2 linked regions of the Diceros bicornis minor genome follow. The protein of the gene in region 1 purifies or fractionates together with the protein of each later gene. This does not show direct contact. Links are inferred from orthologs where the notes say so. Each region holds a gene or a part of one and is shown in the gene's direction. Other genes may lie near its edges.

What was found.
Region 2: the proteins of POGZ (region 1) and ZNF428 purify together in Homo sapiens (affinity purification with mass spectrometry; 3 studies listed by BioGRID and IntAct, counting the BioPlex papers as one, with this or other methods). This does not show direct contact. The link is inferred for Diceros bicornis minor from reciprocal best matches to the Homo sapiens genes POGZ and ZNF428.

The regions. Positions count from the first base shown.
Region 1 is NC_080743.1:55,723,606-55,730,788, reverse strand, and holds the start of POGZ (pogo transposable element with ZNF domain), read left to right. Parts: upstream 1-4,045; 5' UTR 4,046-4,327; intron 4,328-7,183. UniProt on the Homo sapiens protein: Plays a role in mitotic cell cycle progression and is involved in kinetochore assembly and mitotic sister chromatid cohesion.
Region 2 is NC_080773.1:18,217,405-18,224,933, reverse strand, and holds the start of ZNF428 (zinc finger protein 428), read left to right. Parts: upstream 1-4,305; coding exon 4,306-4,381; coding exon of another isoform or gene 4,382-6,665; intron 6,666-7,529. Other genes in the region: SRRM5 (serine/arginine repetitive matrix protein 5), read right to left, coding at 4,341-6,665.

The DNA.
Region 1 (7,183 bases):
TCCACTGTTTTTCTGTCTCTTACATCTTCCAAAATGAGGGCCCAGCCGGTGGCACAAGCGGTTAAGTGCGCACGTTCCGCTGCGGAGACCCGGGGTTTGCCGGTTTGGATCTCGGGCGTGCACCGACGCACCGCTTGTCAGGCCATGCTGTGGCGGCGTCCCATATAAAGTAGAGGAAGATAGGCATGGATGTTAGCCCAGGGTCAGTCTTCCTCAGCGAAAAAAAAAAAAAAAAAGAGGAGGATTGGCAGATGTTAGCGCAGGGCCCATCTTCCTCACACACAAAAAAAAAATCTTCCAAAATGAGTAGCTCCCTTTGAGCTCCTGGTTTGAACCACCCTGAGTGTGTGTTGTAGAGCAGGATGCTTGTTTTTAAAGAAATCTGGCATTGTCCCCCACAAAGCTGCTTTCTGCCTGGACTGACCTCACAATCCTCTCTACTCCCCACCTCAACACGTACTGGTTAGCCTCACACTGAACCTGAGCAGTCAGTGATTGGGTCTGTATAGTAGCAAAATGACAGCAGAGAGGCACCCATGGCTCACTGCTTTTGAAGACATGCTGAAATCATTTGTCTCTCTGCCTTGACACTGTCCAAGCTACAGGTGGTTCCAATTTTCAACTCATGGCAGAAACCATAAGCCAAGGAAGCAAATAAGTGTTCCCATAGACTGTAGAAAAGAAATACTCTTCTGCTACCTAACTGTGAAATGCATAACTTGGGACTTCCATTAACTTTTGACCTTCCTTCCTAGAAACCCATACGGAGAGGATTCCTTTTTTCTAAGTTGGCTACTGAAGACTGGCGTAGCTTTTTAGCAGCAGTATTAGGGTTCAATTTCTTCAATATACCCAACTAGATTGGCTTTCAGACCTCGCCCCAATATGTCACAGAGGCACATGTGAACTGATTTCTAAGGATTCGACCCAGGTTATTTGTTCTGCTGCTTTGTTTCCCATCATTATCAAGATGGTTCAAGTATAAGAGAAACCACAGCTATCAGTTCTACTGCTTCACTCCAGAAACTTGTGTGTTAGCTGACGATAGCAAAATGTTCCAACACTGCTCAGATTAATATGGACGTTCCCTCTTTAGCACGGGGAATACGTTCCTGGAAATGGGAGCGCTAACACTATAGTCTTTTTTGAGATGCTGCTCCAGTGTTGCAAGGTGGTAGAATTTTCTTCAAATCCTCTGAAGTTATAAAATGTCTCTACCCTTGATTTCTTCCAGCTATCAGTCATTCAACTGTTGATTGATCCTCCCAGACGGTGGCAGTTTGGATACCTTTTATAATGTCAAAGAGCTTACTCCATTCCCTGATTGTTGATCCTTACTCTTGTTTTCTGAATTCTTTACTCAAGGGTGCCTCCAGCCCCCACAAAACTCCTATGTTAACATTCAGCACAATATTCTAACTTTATTTCTCTGTGGTAGGCACAGCACTATCCCTCATACACATTTTGCTAGCCATTATGGGTCAAAACTGTCTCCCATGGCCAAAACTAAATAATAGAAAAATAAGTCACAGAGAAGTAAACAACACACCACGGAACTCACTCAGCTGAAGTAGCAGCTCCACAGCTCCCACCCTGGTCCAGGCCACCATCACCTCTCATCTGGATTATTGCAAGAGCCTCCTAACTCGTCTCCCTGCTTTCACTCTCGTCTCTACAAGGAATTCTCTATAAGCAGCCAGAGTGTTCCTTAAACATGTTAGCCAAGTCATATCACTCCTTGGCTTAAAATCTTCCAACGACTTCACTTGCACTAAGAGTAAAACCTGAACTTGGCTTCACTTTCTTCAGGTCTGTGCTCAAATGTCACCTTAATGACAAAGCATCTCCAATCACCCCACAAAAAATAACACCTCCCCACCCCCACACCACACTCCCAATTCCCCCATCTTGCCCTTTTCCCCATCCATAGCACCTATCACCATATCACATATTATATATTTATTAATATATAACATTCCCATTCCAAATACTTTTCTTACAATGTGATGTTTCTACTACTCCCTTTGAGAGATGTTCCCCACTCGCCTTGAGTCGAGGTGAGCCTGTAACGATAGTGGAAGTGATGCTATGTGACCTCTGAGGCTAGGTCACAAAAAGCCATACAACCACTGCCTGGTCCTCGTGGGGCACTCAATCTTGGAACTCAACCACTATGATATGAGGAAGCCCAGGCACATGGAGAGGCCAACAGCCAGCTGTTCTGGCCAACAGCACCAGCTGCAGTCCAAGCCAACAGTCATCATCAACTTCCAGACTTTTGAGGAAGCTTTTGAGTTGACTTCAGCCCCAGCCACTGCGTGAGACTCCAAGTGAGAACCGCTTAGCTTAGCCTAATCATCTCCCAGAACCATGAGAGATAATAATAAAATTGTTGTTGTTCTAAGCCACTAGGTTTTGGGACCATTTGTTATTCAACTGTAGATATTGGAATAATTTGTTTATGTGTATATTGTATGTCTCTCCCCACTACAGTATAAGCTTCATGAGTTCAGGGATTTTGTTTGTTTTCTTTGTTGCTGTATTCCCAGCACTGAGAACAGTGCCTGGCATATAGCAAGTACTCAGTAAATATTTGTTGAATGAATGATGCATTTTCAATATGGTATGCTAATGGTTATTGGCCAACAGTACATGGTACAGTCTGCTGGCCTAGATGTCATTGGCAGATAGCACGAGCTGGCACTTAGGGCATGGCAAAATATGTTTCAACAAGAATATTTCAGAGGCAAATTATGTTGTAATGAATTATAATAATTATTGTAGGAAAGCATAAAATAGGATTACAACTTCATATAGAATTTGTCTTTTGGTGATTGATTCCATAATCCCACTATGGGCTTTTCCAGACCAGGTCTGGAAAGGCTTCAGAGGTTTAGTGATTCTTTCAATTCAAATAATGAAGTTCTTTCTAAGAATGACTAGTTGAAATCACTCACATGTTTTTGGTATGAAGTGGAAAGAAAATGGGTGGTGGCACGTGCAGCCATGTGCATGGTGCATAATTTGGAATGCCTACTTCCACTGCCTATTTTTGTAGTCTGATGTTTGAATAGAGTGTGTATGTAAAGAGAAGGAATAAATATGGTTCTGGATCTCCCCAATGTTGCACCAACATTTAGCACTTGGTTTGGAGCAAATATTTGTGTATTGCTTAAAGAGCAACAACATCCTCAAATAACCAAGGAAAATATTAAAATTTTACCATCATCTGGGGAGGTAATAAATGACAAAATCTCTTAGCTATCCGGAAACGAGGTTAGTTTTTGTTTGGAGAAAAACAACAGGTGGATGGTCTTGACTAGACTAATCAATTTCTTTGGACCAATCCGTCTCAGCCTTGATTGGAGCAAAAAGCACAGATGTGGAGTCTACAGTTTCTTAGAACTGAGCATCTTGGCTGAGTCTATTTACCATGGTTTCAAAGCAGTTTACATACATGAATCACCTTGATAAGCAATCATGTGTGACTTCTTTCCAGAATCCAGAAAGGTTCAGGGTAAAAATGGTTTTTAAAATTTCTTCACTTAAGGCTACTGCCATAAGACTACTTGGTTGAATGTCTCTTGAGGAAAAGTGAGTGCCATTTTGCTGCCTTTGTTCCAATGACAGTTCTTGGTGCCATTGGGCCTCACCATCTGGCCTGTGGCATGAAGTTCCCCTCTTGCTTTGAGTGGAAAGTGGGGAGATTCCCAAAATTTCCTGGAAAGTCCAGGCAAGTGAATTGGGGAATATTTTCTTTAGAAATTCCATTTTTCTCACCCAAACCTAGATATTGTTTCTGAAGCTAATTATTCTTTATTTCATTTAAAAAAATGTTTTTATTTATTTATTTATTCGCAGCCCCAGACAAACTTGACTAGAAAAGAAGCCCGGGCAGGGGTTAGGATGAGCCCATGACGTGTCATGCGCTTCAACCAATTGAAAGGCCACGAAAGGGGGAGGGCGGAAGTGACGAGCCGTATCCCTCCGCGGGGCGAGAGGGTCGGTGGGGGGAGTCGGCGTCTCTCTCCCCCGCGCCAGCTCCCGTACACGGAGCCGCATTCCTTGGCCCCCCCACCCCCCTCCCTCGGGGCCCCCCCCCCGCCCCCCTCGGGAAAAAAATCCACCCCAAGTCACTCGAACCTGAGGGAGGTTTCCTTTCACCCTCCGGGAGACGAGCTTTCAACGGTTCCCTCTTCTCCGTCTACCCCCAAGCCCCCGTCCCCTCCCCTGCTCCCACCCCCTTCTCCCGGCGCCGGGTGCAAGGTCCCTTTAAGGCGACGGCGCCTTCCTCGGGTCAGACTACCGGCGGCGACGACCACGGGAGGTGAGTGAGCGAGCGAGCCTTCTCTCTCCCCACCCCCTGTTCCCGGGGGTTCCGTTATCTTTTCGCTCGGCGAGGCGTTCCGAGGCGAGACAATGAGAGGGGGATGGGGCGGGTACGAGGGGTGGGGGCGGGGGCCCGGTGGCGCGCCCCTCCGCCCCCCGCGAGTGGCGGCGCGGCCCGCGGCGGCGGCGGGCGTGGGGTGCGGCGCGGGAGCGCGTGTGTGTGTGCGTGTGCGCCCCGGGAGCTGCGGGAGGTGCGCGGCGGGCCGGCCGGGGAGGCCCCTGCCGGCCACCCCCGCCCCCCGGCGCCCGCCGCGGCGCGCGCGCGCGCGCACTCGGGCCCCACGGCCCCACACACACGACGTCCACACGCACGCCCGGCGCGAGGCGTCTCGGAGGAGTGGGCGGGCGCGGGCGCGGGCGGCGGCGGCCCGCTGGGGAAGGGGCGGGGGCGCGGGCGGCGGCGAGGCAGCGGGCGCGGCAGGAGGGGCGGGCGAGGGGGCGAGGCCGCGCGCGGGGAGGGGGGCGGGGTCACGTCCCCCGACGGAGGTGTAGTGCGCGGCCCTGCCGCCTCACCCCCGCCGGGGAAGGAGTGGGGCGCTCTTTTTGAGCGTGAGCAGCAAAATGAGTGATTGGTGAGCCGCTCCCCTGCGTTATGTAATCCCCGCTCGGACCAATCGCACATCCCAAGCTTTAGTGCACTGCAGTTAGTTTACAAAGTCTCCTCCCTCGGCCCTAAAATTTCTTTGGGATGGCGCCGTGATTTATAAAATGGGATGGGGTAGAGAATTTTTATTTTCTGATGGTTATATCCTGCCGCGGTGGGCGCCATGTTTATCCCAGGGACTATTTTCTGGAATCTTAGCACCTACTGAAAAGGAGTGACGTCGCTGATCCACCTGCGGTCCCTCTTTTCTGCGAGTTGTCCTGATTTCCTCTCCCGTTAGAGGCGGGATTCTCTCAAACTGTTGATAACGCTGGACGTTTCTCAGCTCTCTTATATTGGACATTCTTAGCTCAGAAAAGGGTAGAGCTGAAAAGAGTCTTCTAAGTTGTTTAGCCCAGTCTCGTTTTCCAGATGGAAATCGAGATAAGTTGTACTATCTCAGAATAGCTGTCTTCGTGTTGCAGACTGGAGCCCAGCCCTTTACATTCTTTTAAAAAGACACCTCCCACCGCAGCTCAAAACCCCACAGAAACGGAGTTTTACTTTCTAAGGAATTTTCCCATGTAGATGAAAGGGAAAGGACGGGGGCGGGGAGGGTTGCTTCTTGGCGAATGACACTGAATTTGGAATCCGTTGCTCTTGGGACTGGTAGTTGGACTCTGAATTCGAGGTGTTCACAATCGTTCTTAACTTAGGGGTGCATAAAAAATACCTTGTAGATTGCTGGAAGTGCGGTTGTGAGGGCCTCATCCCCAAGTCTCTTTGGGTGAGATGGGGAGGGGGGTGTCATCTTCTCTACATTTAACCTGCAGTCCTTCGTTGAGAATTATTAGTTTAGCATAGAAGTGCTCAAAACATAATCTTAAAACAATGAAATTCAATCTGTGCCCTCTATTTCCTTCCCTTTTTCTGTATTACGGTTATACCAGCTGTGATGTTGGTATATCTTAAAGTAAAGGAACTGACAAAATGAAGAGTCGAGATGCACAGGATTTTATTAGAGTTTCTACACTCACTTTGAACCAATGGTATAATCTAGGAAAGCAGTTCTCAAAGTGTGGTCCACTGACCCCTGGAGATCCCCTTAGACCTTTTCAGAGGAGCCACGAGGTCATATAAGATGCTATTTATTTTTATCACTGTTGTTTGCACTGATAGTCCTAAAGCAGTGCTGGGTGAAACTACTGGTGGCGCTTTAGCACAAAGCAAGGCAGTTGCATGAAACTCTGTTATTAGTTACTTGAGAATGTTGTTGATAAAGCAGTAAAAAATGATTGATTTTATTAAATCTCAGCCCTTGAGTACGTGTCTCTAATTTTTAAGAATCTGTGACCAAATGGGAAGTAGGCATAAAGCGCCTAATGCTGCCTACTCAGATATGAGCCTTGTCATAAGGAAAAGCACTTAGGAGATTGAGTTGAAAGCTGCTCATTTCGTGGAACAGCGTTTTTACTTGAAAGAATGACAAACGACAGTTTTTCACACTTGAGTGTTTGGCGCGTGTTTTCTTGAAAATAAATAAAGTGAGCTTATCACTTTGAGGAAAACACTTGACGGTATTTGTTACCAATGATAAAAATTTGAGAGTGAAAATGAGAATTTTTAAAAAGTTGACATCTCAAGTTTGACAGCTTTATAGCATTTGAAAGATTTTTCTTATAATATCGGTGTTAATTAATGACTGTGATTTTTTAAAAATATTGTATAATGAAATGTATCAACATTTGGAAGATTGGCATAACTCACTAAATCTCTATTTTCCCAATGACCAATGCATGACGTTTTAAAATCACCGTGGGTGAAAAGAACCTTTCAAAATGTAAGATACACCAGTAGATTTTAATGTCACGAAGTACGAAAAGTTCATTGATATGGTTTCAGATCCCAAGATGCAATTATCCTTTAAGAAACTGCCATTTGTTGAGTTTTAGTATTTTGTCAATATAAACAGTTATCTGAAAAGGTTTATAGAATATTTCTCCCTTTTCCTACTGTGTGAGGCAAGATCTTTGTTATAAACTTAACCAAAACAACATATAGCAACAGACTGAATGCAGAAACAGCTATGAGAATGTGACTGCCTTCATTAAGCTAGACATAAAAGATTTGAGAAAATGTAAAACAGTATTACTCTTCTCACTATTTTGGGGAAAAATAGTCATTTTTAATTGAAAATGTTATTTATGTTAA
Region 2 (7,529 bases), on another chromosome or scaffold:
TCCAGAAAACCTGTCAGACTGACATCTGTGCCAAGATAGGAATGAGGAGCACAACAGCAAGTATTCAAAGATCAGAGGGAAAAGCATTTTCAGGCAAAGGGAACAGCATGGGCAAAGGCCTGAGATGGTAAAGAGACTGGGGTGTTTGAGGGGAAGTGGAGCTAGACAGGAGTGGATAAAGAGGAGAGAGAAGTGGGTGAGGTCAAAGATAAGCAGGGCCAGAGACGCTGTGTACAGCCCATGGACCATGATAAAGAGTTTAGATTTTTTTCTAAGTGTAATGAGATCTCATTAGCAAGTTTTAAGCTGGAACATGAGTCACTTCCTAGAAGCCTGGAATGTTGCAATACCTTTCTATACTCTCAGCATGAAGTCTGAGCTCAACATCACCTGTAGAAGACTTTCCCCTCTCTGTTCCAGGCATACTAAACTGCTTTCACTTCCTCAAACCATGCATTTTTCTTTTTGCCTCTAGGCCTTTGCCCTTGCTGTTTCCTCTGCCAGAAAGACTCCCTCTCTAGTTGGCTTCTATTCATCCTTGGCTTAAAGATCACCACCTCTTGGAAGCCTTCCAGGCTGGGGCAGGCGCCTCCTCTGGCTCCCACAGCTTCCTATGCTCCAGTCATCCCAACTTTGACCACTCTGGCTTGTGGTTGATTATGTGTGGATCTCCTTCCTTTGACTGGGGCGCCTCTTGTTCACTGCGGAAACCATAGTGCCCACTAGCACAAGGCCTGACACATAGGAGAGCAATAAATATTTATCCTGGCTAGCGGGGAGGGTTGTGAGGGTTGGTAAGGGTCCTAGCCCTTGTGGCCGCTCTCGGGATGCAAACTGATCCTAAGACAAGGCTCCCCGCTTCGCGCTAGTCCGCAGTCCCTGTGCGCACGCGCATTGCTCAGGCGCCCCCACCCCACATATGCTAATCACTGCGCTCCGAAGTACGGCCTCTCCGGGGAATATGCAAATCACCCCTTTCAGCGCCCGAGGCCTCCCATTGTCCCGCGCGAAGATTATGCAAATGAGAAGGCCTCAGGTCCAGGATCCAGGCAGAGCGGGCGCCCCCCACCCCCAGCGCATCCCATTTTCTACAAGGCGCGTTCCTGCTCGCTCACGCACGCGCGAGTCTTGCAGTTTCTCGTTCCGCCGGGCTGCGGACTGTACCAAGTAAACCCGGACAGCGGGGGGCAAAGCCCGAAACCCCCTGCGCGGGCCTCGTCGAGAGCCCGACTCGGAGACCCCCCTTCCCACTGTGAGACAGGAACGGTCCATCTCTCCGCGCAAGCGCCCTAGGCTCTTCACGCCCCCCGCACTCCCTCCTACCCCACCAGCAGCGCAGGCGCAGAGCCCGGGCGTGCAGCCGCCGCCGCCGAGCCGGAGCGGGGGCCGTCGGCGCCGGTGAGTGTCCGGGATGGAGGCGCGCGGGGCATGCTGGGAAGCGGGCGCTACGGCACCGCTGCATGATGGGAGTGACGGCTCCCGCCACCGAGGAGCCGGCCGCGGTCTTGGCCCGTGATGGCCTGAGGGCGAGCCCGGGCTGCCTTTTCTCCCCCCACGCGGCTCCGTGCAGCCCTGGGCATCCTGGGAAAACAGGACTCCCCGCCCTAAAGCACTGGGAGTCGGTCGCTAGTCGTTATGGGCCTGGTGCATTGGGGAAGGATTATCTTAGCTCCTTGTGGGGAACCGGTCCCTTTTGTCACACCCCTTCCTCTGAGCATCCTCGAAGCTTAGAGTGCTTCGATGCAGAGCACCTTGGAGGGTGGTCATTATAGGCCCGAGGCATCCTGGGAAGAATTGCCGCAGAGCTTTGTCGGGACTGGTCTTTACTGCCCCTCATAGGGTTTTGCTTTGGCCTCCTTGCCCTCGCATTGTGGGACCGCGTGCCTATTATGTTCGCGCAGAGCTTTCTGGGAGTTGGTTGCTATGGGCTTGGGACATTGTGGGGTCTCTTGGGCGCTGTGTTTTCCTTACGGTAGTGAGGGAGCCTCGTTTATGCTCCTCTAAGATCGTGGGAGTCAGTCTGGCCGCCATAGTCATTGTAGGAATGGGACTTGTGCGCTACTGAATGGCTCCACCTGACCTCTGGAATACTCTGGAAGGGGCCTTGGAAGGGGACTCTGGATGTGGGCTTGGGGCAGGGTAGGCTGGACTGGTGAGCCATGTCTCATGGTAATCTCATGGGATGTCCTGATTGCCCCTGGTGTGTGGTTGCCAGTTAAAATAGAGAACGGCCAGTTAAGTTGAATTTCACATAGATAAATAATCTTTTAGAAATGTACCTCCCAAATGTTGCAAGGAACATATGTATATTAAATAATCCTTTGTTGTTTATCCGAAATTCAAATTTAATTGGGTGTCGTCTGTTTTTATTTACTAAATCTGGCAAGCTTATCGAGGTGTGAAATAGAATTGCCAAAGTAAGTGGGGCTGAACAGGCAATAGGGTGTTATGAGAACTCTCCCCTACCAATTATAAATCCTCTGTCCCGAAAGCCCATCCAGGTGTCTTTAGAAAGCTCCCCTGCCGTTGATGGCAGCCCTCTCATCCCCCGGCCTCCTCCAGGCTTCAATCCTAATCTTTTTCTCTTTAGTCCCCAGCATTAAACTTGACCTCCAGGCTTTGAAGGGATGGTGTACTTTCCAGCATTGTATGCCCAGTGCCGTCCGTAGTGTATAAGAGGTGCAGCTGAGGCTGCCAACCCCTTCACTGACTTGCTCTGCCTGGCTCTCTACTGTTAGGAAGTGCAGTGAGAGACAAAAGAAGTGCTCTGTGTCTGTGTCTGTGTCTGTGTATGTGTGTAGGGAGGTATTGGTGAAGAGGGAGAGGAAGGAGAGGAGTCAGAGAAGGCTTCTTGGAAGAGGCAGGGGTGGTATTTGCATTGGGAAGAAGTGCAGAGGTTCTTGTGTTCAAGATGGGCTTTGAAGGGTAAATAGGAGTTCTCCAAGCAGACAAGGGGAAAGGAGGACGCTCTAGAACGCAACAGCGGGATTTGCTAAGACCCACAGATGTGAAAAATCCTGGCATGCGCAGGGAGAGGGGAGAAGTCTGGAATGGCTGGAGTGGGGTTTATAGAGGCTTGGGGATGGGAGTAACAGCCACTGTTAATGGAGTGCCTGCCACATACCAGCAATTTATGCGAATGAGCCTACTGAATCTTCAAAAACTCTTTTCAGCAAAGGGATCATTTTATGAGAAGTGGGATGACATGGCTTCAAATCCCAGTTCACTCAGCTCCCAGTTGGTGTAACCTTGGGCTACTTGTTAATCCTCTTTGTGCCTCAGTCTCCTTCTCTGTACTAAGGAGATAATAATCTGTCTCAGCATGGTTATGAGGGGTACATGAGTTAAGCCCCAGAAGCTCTTTTTGTACTGAGAAGGAAACTGGCTAGATTTAGGATTCAAACCTAGACACGGGGCCGGCCCAGTGGCGTAGTGGTTGAGGCCGCTCTGCTTCGGCGGCCCGGGGTTTGCGGGTTTGGATTCCGGGCACAGACCTACACCACTTATCAACACCACCGCTGTGGCGGTGACCCACATACAAAGTAGAGGAAGATTGGCACAGGTGTTAGCTCAGGGCCAGTCTTCCTCAAGCAAAAAAAAGGGGAAGACTGGCAATAGATGTTAGCTCAGGGCCAATCTTCCTCACCAGAAAAAAAAAAAAAAATGAACCAACCTAGACACTATCTCGCCAAGGTATAAATTGATACAGAACTAGAGCTGACATTCACAAACTGGTTCAGCCATACCAGTTGTTTCAGTATTGAAATTCTTCTAGACTGGTTGGTATATCACCACTACACCAGGTAATCCCTACCCCCAGGTTCCACTTTGGACCCTCCCCCAGCCTCAGACTTTCCTATAGTCCAGCAACTAAAGGGTTAATTCCTGGCATGGGACCATGTTCAGCTCTCAGTTCTGACTAGTGCCCATGCTAGTACCTGCTGTTAAATATTTGGAATGTTACCCTTCCTCACCCCATCGAATAAGAACCACAGACAGTTTTGTTGCCCAGATGGGGAAATTAAGGCCTCCAGAGCGGCGAGGCCTGTAGCCAAGGCCCCGTAGGCTGTCAGGGACAGAGCTGGGGCCTTCTTTGCCTTGTCCCCAGCACTGAACATGCAGCTGGGGAGGCAGATGCTATGTAAAAATTTATTGAGTCACCACAGGCTTTTCCTTCCCCTATCCAGCATCCCTCTCTACCTGCCGACATCCTGCATTAGAGAACTTGTGGCTGTGGAGAGCTGGCCAGGGAGGGACACTGCCCAGCTGCTGCTCTGCTCCTGTCTCCTGTCCCCTCCCCTGGCCATGACAGAGACCCGTGAGCCAGCTGAGACTGGGGGCTACGCCAGCTTGGAAGAAGATGATGAGGACCTCTCTCCAGGTGAGGTGGCCTTAGAGGTGGTGGTGTTGGCTTGAACATTGTCGTGGCTTGGGATTGGGGCTCCACTAAGAAATCTTGAGGGGGAGTGGCTCTTTGTCTCGGTAGGTATTTTATTCTGATTGGGACTCTGTGCCCTGCTGGAGGATCCCTTCCGGTTGAGACTTCTGGGGGTTGTAGATTGGCTGGGATTGCTCTCCTTGCTGGGGGTTCTAGATCGGCTGTGGTCTTTCTTGCTAGAGGTTCTAGATCGTCTGTGATGCCTCTCTTTTGTGGAGGTTCTAGATTGGCTGTAATAGCTCTCTTTTCTGGGAGTTCTAGATTGGCTGTGATCTCTTTCCTTGCTGGGGGTTCTAGATTGGCTGTGATAGCTCTCTTTTCTGGGAGTTCTAGATTGGCTGTGATCTCTTTCCTTGCTGGGGGTTCTAGATTGGCTGTGATAACTCTTTTTTCTGGGAGCTCTAGATCGGCTGTGATCTCTTTCCTTGCTGGAGGTTCTAGATCGGCTGTGATAGCTCTCTTTTCTGGGAGTTCTAGATCGGCTGTGATCTCTTTCCTTGCTGGGGGTTCTAGATCGGCTGTGATAACGCTCTTTTCTGGGAGTTCTAGATCGGCTGTGATCTCTTTCCTTGCTGGAGGTTCCAGATTGGCTCTGATCTTTCTCCCTGCTGGGGGTTGTAGATTGTCTGCGACCTCTCTTCTTGCTGAGGGTTCTAGATTGTCTGTGACGCCTCTCCTTGCTGGGGCTTCTAGATTGTCTGTGATCTCTCTCCTTGCTGGGGCTTCTAGACTGGCTGTGACTTCTTTCCCTTCTGGGGGTTCTAGATTGGTTATAACTTTTCCCCTTGCTGCAGGTTCTAGACTGGCTATGTTTTCTCATCTGGCTGGGACTTCCCTTCCAGGTACGACTTCTTGCCCTACTATGATTTCTGTTCCAACTGTGACTTCTCATCCTGCTGTGGGCCCTCTTCCGACTGCGACTTCTTGCCCTTCTGGGTGTTCTAGACTGGCTGTGACTTTGGGTCCTGGGGGTGCTAGACCGGCTATGACTTCGGGTCCTGACAGGGGTGCTGGACGCACTACGACTTTGCGTCCTGGGGGCACTGGACCGGCTATGACGTTGGGTCCTGCTGGGGGTGCTAGACCGGCTGTGATGTCGGGTCCTGATGGGGGTGCTAGACCGGCTATGACTTCGGGTCCTGGGGACACTAGACTGGCTGTGACTTCGAGTCCTGGGGGTACTAGACCGGCTGTGACTTGGGGTCCTGATGGGGGCGCCAGACAGGCTGTGACTTCGGGTCCTGTTGGGGGTGCCAGACAGGCTGTGACTTCGGGTCCTGCTGGGGGTGCTAGACCGGCTGTGACTTTTGGTTCTGCTGGGGGCGCTAGACTGGCTGTGACTTTGGGTCCTGCTGGGGGCGCCAGACAGGCCGTGACTTCGGGTCCTGGTGGGGGCACTACCCTGGTTGTAACTCTGGACCCTGCTGGACACTTCAGTGGGGCTGGAACTCCGTTCCCTGCTGGGGCTGATCATCTGACTGTAACTCTTTACCCTCGATGATGATGGAGACTGGCTGGAACCCTTCTCCTTGACGAGAGTTCTAGTGGAGCTGGAACTCTTTGCTGTACTGCTGGTTACAGCCAGCCTGGAACTCTTCTCCATACTCGTGGCTCCTGGTGGGCTGTAGTTCTTCTCTCTGCTCATATCTCTAGGCTGGCTCTCACTCCTTTCCTGGTTGCCAGTTCTAGGCCGGCTGTAACTCTTCCCTCTATTCTGTTTTTGCTGGGAAGTAGGAGTTCTCATCCTGCTGGGTCTGGCACCATGAGTTCTCATCCTCCTGGGAGTGCTGGCCCTACTGGGTGACCTCTTGGAGCTGTGGCTTCCCCTTCTGGCAGGAGTTCTGCCCCGGCTCTGCGTGCCCCTCCGCCGGTGGTGTCTTACTCCACTGGCCTTGCTCAGTTTGCTGGCCCTGGTGTCAGTGCTGGCCCTGGTATCAGTGCTGGCCTTGCTGGATGTTCTTGCCCTGCTGTGGACTCGGGACTTGCTGCTGGGCTGGTTAGAAGGGGCTGGCTTTGTACCTGCCCCTTTGGTAGACTTGGAACTGCTCGGGCTCGTGAGCAAGTTGGGGGCTGTCAGTGGCTTGGTGGGCACTGAGGAGCTGTTGGGCATCTCTGCTTTGGTGGTCTTCAAGGAGGCGGGAGGCTTGGGAGACGCTGTGGGCATGGAGGGTCCAGTGGACGCTGGAGACATGCTGGGCTTTGAGGATCTTGTAGCTGGAGAAGGCATGGTGGGCACAGAAGGGCTGGTCGTCCTGGAAGTCATGGTGGACATGAAGGACTGGTCACTGTGGACGACGACCTCATTGCCTTTCACAGGCCAACTGCGTGAAGTCATAGAGGGCATTGAAGACCCTGGAGGGTGGGTGGTGTGAAGTCAGAGGTCAGAGGAGAAAGAGGGATGGGGCCCCTAGCCCAAGGCCAGAGATATTTCCTCTGTGTTTTGCAGCCATTCAGCAAAGGTCTCCTGAGGCTGACTTATGCTCAGCATCTCTGGGAACACAGAGATGGGTCAGATTTAGGTCCTGCCTTCCAGGAGTCTCCAGACCCAGAGGGTTACTGCCCAGGTGATCAGGGTGTAGGGGGGGCAAGGGCAGGGGGACCCCAGAGGAGAGAGACACCATCCACCTGGGAAGTCAGGGAGGGCCTCACAGAGGAGGTGTTGTGTGAGCTGGGGCCTTAAAGAGGAGCAGGAGTTTGCTAATAGAGAAGGAAAAGGTCGCCCCAGGTGGGAGAAGAGCAGAGGTAAGGGCCTGGAGCAGGGAGATGAGGGCCTTGGGGCCACCCTTGTTCATTTAACCCACACGTCCTGTGCTAGGCAGTGTTGGGGACCCTAAGGTGAGTCCGACCAGGCCTTGAGGGGGTGGGTCCTAGTCTGATGGGGGAGACGTACTGGGGCCCAGATGGCTACAGCCTCTAGGCCTGTGGCAAGGGGAGATGCCAGGCCAGGGGGAGGGAGCAGGGGAGAGACTTCTAGGGGATTAGGGGTGACTTCATGGAGGACTGACCCTGTGCTGGGTCCTGAAGGATGAGCAGGAGGTCACCAGGCAAACAGAGTGGGGAACAGCATTCCAGGCAGGGGGACCAGCCCACG